Arabidopsis thaliana: one gene and its partner. The protein of the gene in region 2 interacts with the protein of the main gene of each other region in a pairwise test. Each region holds a gene or a part of one and is shown on either strand. Other genes may lie near its edges. The genes, in order: AT4G14815 and AT2G04830.

Region 1 (3,517 bases), on a different chromosome or scaffold from region 2:
TTCATTTCATGCACATATCAATTAATATTTAGTATAACTTGCGAACAAAAACTACAAATTCATTATCACAAAACAATACTACATTCTATAAAAAAACTGATGACTTGTCTTCTAAACAAGTCTATAAGAATCACTAAATTTAATAAAGTTTGCAGAATTTTTCTGTCAATCTCACATTTAAATTAGTGAATCACTAGTTTGATTAAGAAAAGTAGGTGTTAGTTAATTTCCATTATCATTGTTGCTTTGACTTCTCTAGACATTTGTTTGACTCTTGCTAGAAACTGTCTTCCAGATTTCAGCCAGCATATAAATGTTTGTCTATAGCTTTCACAACATATGTTCTGGAATATTAAAAGAGAAATACCAAAACGATTTACAAGTATGCAACTTAAAAATAGAGAAATTTTTGAGAAAGGCGATAATTCCCTTCGTAAAATTACCGGCAAAAGAAAAAGTGGATAGAGACGCGACACTCTGCGCAAAAGTTTATGGTGAACATTGAGCAATAACATTTAGGGTAACAGACAAAGCTCATATTTAGAAACTGTGACTAAAATGGCAACAATACATGTGTTTGTGATAGCAATCGTACTCCTTCTACAATACATGTGTTAGTGATAACAATAGTACTCCCTCTAAATTTTAAGTGATGTTTAGACATATGTTAGTGATAACAATACATATATATATCATGTATTTCAAATATGTCCTAGCTAGAAAATAATGTTTATTGCATAAATCAAAGATATACAATCACACTCTTTGGACTACAAACCAATATCACCTAGAAAGTAGGGATTTAGAGCACAAAATACTTCAGCACAATACACCGCGATTTAATAGAGACTAAAAATGAATATGTTCTTCAAAGAGGCCAAAAGCTTTATTGGTAAAATAAGTCAGTATTTTGCGTAGATTAATGTAATGTAAGAAGCTGTGAATAGGATGGCGAGAAGAGGGAATGAGAACTTAATAGAACCATCAGATGATGACTTTTCTCTTGGGACTGTTTTTGATCCATTTCCATGTTCTGTTCATAGAGATAATGTCAAAAAAGGATAATGTCAAAATAGATATGATTAGATTAGGTTCTATTTATAAGTTAGTCCTTTACCTGAATGTGAATTAACCGAAGAACCACCTGAAAATAATAAAGTTCTGATGTGTGAGAGAAAAAAGATAGCAAAAATATGAATCTAATGCATGGAAAGTGAGTTTATTTTACTATGGCAGCGACTAGCAGGAGGAGTTTCAACATGACAAGCTTTAGGCAAAGCAAGAGCTTGTGTCTCATTAACATTGATCCCAAGCTGAGAACCTCCACCATCGAGAACCTGACACAAACACTCAGAAGAATACCGGACAACATGAGCCAACTGGTTACAACATTGTTGAGACGGGAGAGAAGTGTTTTGAGTGATGAAGCTGAGACACGGCGCCATGCTGATTAGAACATTTGTGCAACTCGACTGAGCAGAAACAATCGACATTACTCTCATTAAAGCAATAAACAAGATTAAACACATTCTAGGTTTCATGTTTTTCTTGTGTTCCAAGAATCTCTCAAGATTTTTTTTTAATTTAGTTGTTTGATCGCTTAATGGTTTGTGTTGGAGTCTTTTCTTTTGTGGTTACGTAAATAAATAAGAAGTTGAGGCCGCAGAAAAAGACGAAAATAAGGATGTGGCTCAATTTGCATGACCAACTTTTGCAACACCTTATGGTGAAGTTTGTGAAAGAATATGATTACGTTTGGTTTAAGGATATGTTTGTTGAATTATTTTTTGTGATTATATAAAGTTTTTGAGTTTCACCTGATTGAAATTTGATTGCTGACCTTTTCAATGAAAAAAACAAGAAAAAAAATAAGATACGTAGATAAATTTGTAGAAACCATTAAAATTATAAGCAACACCAAACACTTACTTGTGAATTGTTCATTTTAATATGGTTGTTTGAGTTTATTGGTTTAATTTGTGTTGGAGTCTTTTTGGGAGTTCGTAAATAAATAGAAACTGATATATGTCGCATAAAAAAAAAAAACAAAAAGAAGGATGTCAGGATGTGGCTTAATCTGCATGATCTAACTTCTCTATTTGATAAAGAGCATGACCAACTTTTGCAATATAAATATGGTAAAGTTTGCGTTCTTATTCAGAAACTGAGATTCCGATATGCTCCACCATACGTAAACCATTATTAGCCAACACTTCACGATCTTCACGACCACCGAAAAACAAAACCACGACAAGAAAAAACATCTTCTGACGAAACTTAACTCGAACCACCGAGTCCACGGTCAACGAATATTCAAACTAAGCAAAGAGCCTTCAAGAAAAATTCTTCAAGATATCAGATATTTCACGAAGATATCTGCATAACAGCTACGAGGAAATTGTGATTTTATCGTTTCACAAACATCAACAGCTCCATGGATCGTTATGGACGGATAAATCACAATCACTATCCTTTTTCTAGCAGCTGTTGAGCAGGTTTCTTCGTGAATATCTGGCATTTTGGTGGATTTTACAGTTTCACAAGCATCAACAGTTCCATGGATAATTATAACGGTTTCACAAGTCTATGTTTGTTCGTTTTTTCTTTTTTTTAATTGTCTATGTTTGTTATGTTCTCTAAATTTATATTGATTCTCTAAATTTATATTGAGTTCAGTATGTTTGGAAGCACATGAGAACGTTCTTTTGATGATATTATTACCAGTATTCTATATTGGGTCATTCATAGTATTACTATTCCATACATTTCCTATTTGTTGTGGGCTGGTTATTCGTCAGCACCGATTTAGCTTACGATGTGTTCGGGAGCCCTCGTCCAAACGAATATCAACTAAATAAGTAATTAACTTTCCCACTTAAACTTTGAATGGATGCGGCGGACAAAAAGGTCTAATTTTTCTGCAGTTTAATCCATTTTATTTTTGGGCGGACAATAAATCGGTGCGTACCAAATTTATTTGTATATAAAAACGGTTTGCTGCGGTTTTTCTTTTTTTTTGGTCCGAACTACTGCGGACTATAATTGATGAATGGTAAATAAAAAGCGGTATGATCTGTTGAAGGTTTTGTTCGCCTCAACCGCCGTAACCATTAGATTTTTATTTATCCTCTTTAAAAAACAGAAGTATAAAATTTCAAAGTCAACTAAACTATAAAATGTCAAAAACATAAACTGTGGGCTTTGATATTCAATCTAAAAGCCCAAACGAAACTAATCTTCACCCACGTGGACGGACCTTAGTGGCCAGTCACTACCAACTCAGCATCACCCGAAAATATCAATATAGGGGCAAATTAGTAACTTCGTTATCAAACCTCCACAACTGTTTATTTCCCGCCACCATCGTCATACAATCTCAGTTATCGCTACGAATCAGCCATAAGTGTGAAATCTCTGTAACTAACTCTAATCACGAAGACGAGAGATCTCTGAAGCAACAAAAATGGCGACCAAAATCACCGGCGTTTTCATCCTCATACTCACGATCACCTTCTCC
Region 2 (3,338 bases):
GATGTACATCAACAATCAGAACATGGTTACGAGAGCTAGTGGAGTGAGGGCTGACTGGCTGAGTTGTGTTGGACCAAAATTTTACTTAAGCTAATGGGCTTAATTAAATTAAAGAAATGGGTTTAAGAGATGGTCTAGCTCACGTTGGAGCTTTGGTGGTTGTCGGGTCGGGTCTTGAAAAGAGGAAACAAGTCGCTCTGTACTCCACGTTGCTAAAGAACAGGTCTTCTTCGCTTCCTCAACTCCTTAAAAATAGGAGTCGTTGAAGTATCAAGTCACCCACTACCTCCTATATTTTTGTTTGACATGGTTTTGATTTTGCGAAGAAACAAATTAAAACCTAAGTATATCAAACCTATAGAAGAAGGTTACAGTTCAAGTTTTTGTGGACACTAGCAGAGCACCACTTGAACGTTCACACATATTTTGAAAGTAAAACATCTCCAACAACCTCTCTATGTCTTAAACTCGAGAGTATCGTAGAAACTATGTTTGTTAGAACTGTGTTTTCGAGTGTTGCAAAACCAGTTTATAGAGGTTGTATCCTGGGATCCTTAAATAACCAGAACTGCTCTATAACTTTCACGTAAGAGTAGAAAGACCACATAGATCATAATTTTTTGTAATGAATTTTCTATTAAATTCTTTCGAATGAGCACTAACATCAAAACCATGGTAACATTTATACATATATAGAATTCAAAAATCAATTGATTGAATAACACTAGAATTATAGGGAAACTTGAATTCATTAAAAACAAAATATAAGAATACTCCTACACTCCATAGCCTCCTCTCTAATAAGCAACTCCCCAAACAAACCACTGAGTTTTATTAACGGAAAAATAGATCTTCTTAGGCCATTCGATCTTACTTGTGGCAATATCGAAGACACCGCAATTCGATACATGATCTTTATAATCTGGCCAATCTTTATGATCTGGCCAAACATCTTCGTCGTCGACGAAATAGATTGAATCACTCTTGATTCCGTGACCAAGATCTTTAAGAGCGAGAGGTACTGTAACCCCACGACCAAAAATCAACATCTCATCTCCAATAGAGTAAACTCTTTCCCACTTGTAACTCTCAAGATTCATCTTAAAGATGTAAAACAAAAGTTTCTCTTCATTTTTCACTATTTCCTTTAAGCTCAAGACTATAAGTACTTCTCCTGATCTCTGAATCGCTATTTTCCTCCCCCAAACGGATTCCGAAGGCTCCCCAACGAAGTTATTCTCCTGAATCGCTATTCTCCTGACCTCTCGTCATGGCATTCTAGGCTTGGTCATCCATCTTTACCAATTCTTAATTCTGTTGTCTCTCAATTTTCGTTACCACTTTCAAATTCCCAGCAAAAACAATGGTCGTGTTCCGATTGTCTTATCAATAAAAGTCACAAATTACCTCCACTCAACCTCTTGAATATCTTTATACCGATGTGTGGTCTTCTCCCATTATGTCAATGGATTCCTACAAGTATTATCTGGTAATTGTCGATCACTTTACTAGATATACATGGTTATATCCACTGAAGCAAAAATCGGAAGTCAAAGAAGTGTTTGTTGCTTTCAAGGCATTAGTGGAAAACCGGTTTCAGTGTAGAATCCGCACCCTATATTCTGATAATGGTGGTGAATTTGTGGCCATGCGATCGTTTTTGACAACACACGGCATCTCTCATCTTACAACACCACCACACACTCCCGAACACAACGGGATATCGGAGAGAAAGCATCGCCATATTGTTGAGACTGGCCTTACTCTTCTCAGTCATGCCTCTGTTCCGAAATCATATTGGCCTTGATAGAGATCGCCCCACACATGTCTGCCGCTTGAACAAAGCTCTCTATGGTCTAAAACAGGCGCCTCGGGCATGGTATCAAGAACTCCGAAATTATCTCCTTGCTGCTGGCTTTACGAACTCCTTGGCTGACACATCGTTATTCATTTACAAGCGGGCAAATTCATATCTTTATGTCTTGGTGTATGTCGATGACATAATCATTACCGGAGATGCTTCGCTTGTCAAAAACTTTAATGTTTCTCTTGCAGATCGATTCTCCTTAAAGGATCTTGGTGCATTGAGCTATTTCTTGGGTATTGAGGCAACACGCACTAAGAAAGGCCTACACTTGATGCAAAGGAAATATATAACAGATCTTTTGGCTAAGACGCACATGCTAGATGCAAAACCAATCTCTACGCCAATGGCTACAACACCGAAGCTTTCACTACACTCTGGTACGATTCTCGACGATGCCAAAGAATACCGCATGATTATTGGGAGTCTTCAATATTTGTCTTTCACTCGCCCAGACATTGCTTTCGTGGTGAATCGTCTCTCCCAGTTCATGCATAAACCAACCGATGAACATTGGCAGGCCGCAAAACGAGTTTTGCGATATCTTGCGGGAACGAAATCACATGGTATTTTCCTTCGATCTGATGCTCCACTCACAGTTCATTCGTTTTCAGATGCGGATTGGGCAGGAGATCTCGGAGACGGCCTCTCGACCAATGCATATATTGTTTACTTTGGTGGCAGTCCCATTTCTTGGTCATCAAAGAAACAACGAAGATTCTCGCGGTCATCTACGGAGGCCGAATACCGTGCAGTAGCCAACACTGCCTCCGAACTTCAGTGGATATGTTCTCTCCTCTCAGAAATGGGGATCTCCTTACCTGTGGCACCAGTTGTTTACTGTGACAACATGGGTGCTACTTATCTTTGCGCCAATCCGGTGTTCCATTCAAAAATGAAACATGTAGCTCTTGATTATCACTTTGTTAGAGGTAACATTCAGACTGGAGCTCTTCGCGTTTCTCATCTCTCAACAAAAGATCAATTAGCCGATGCACTCACCAAACCGCTTCATCGGCCACGATTCCAAGAGCTCAATTACAAGATTGGAGTCAAGGAACTGCCTCCATCTTGAGGGGGTGTGTAAAGGAGAAGTGTAGATTAAGGACATAAGTGTAATTAGTTATGCATTAAGCCCTAATGTGGAACCTATATATATTGTAAATCATTCTATTAATGAATTCATTCTGCTCACAATTATAAACGGATGATTCGAATACGGGTTTTCTTCCTCTATAGGGGAACCTTCAGAGAAATAAAAACTCTTGATGTAATAATCACTTGTGAACAGATAAAGCTTACTCTTCTCACAAGCCATATCCAAAACATCCATATTTTTTCCATTGAGATTCATATTAAACCAGAAACCATTTCCTTTCTTGTGTGAGAACAAGTACTTTTGTTTGAATGTCCAAGCAACAACATAATCTCTTGTTGTCTCGTTTATCCACAAAACAGCTAACGAGTTTTTCCA

The links.
Region 1: the proteins of AT2G04830 (region 2) and AT4G14815 interact in a protein complementation assay, tested with the Arabidopsis thaliana proteins (one large-scale study listed by BioGRID).

The regions. Positions count from the first base shown.
Region 1 is NC_003075.7:8,503,146-8,506,662, reverse strand, and holds AT4G14815 (Bifunctional inhibitor/lipid-transfer protein/seed storage 2S albumin superfamily protein), read right to left. Parts: upstream 1,621-3,517; 5' UTR 1,542-1,620; coding exon 1,229-1,541; intron 1,145-1,228; coding exon 1,118-1,144; intron 1,034-1,117; coding exon 903-1,033; 3' UTR 711-902; downstream 1-710. Other genes in the region: AT4G14810 (uncharacterized protein), read right to left, coding at 2,154-2,318, 2,423-2,518; AT4G14805 (Bifunctional inhibitor/lipid-transfer protein/seed storage 2S albumin superfamily protein), read left to right, coding at 3,464-3,517.
Region 2 is NC_003071.7:1,693,193-1,696,530, reverse strand, and holds AT2G04830 (F-box only protein (DUF295)), read right to left. Parts: upstream 1,177-3,338; 5' UTR 1,101-1,176; coding exon 798-1,100; 3' UTR 675-797; downstream 1-674.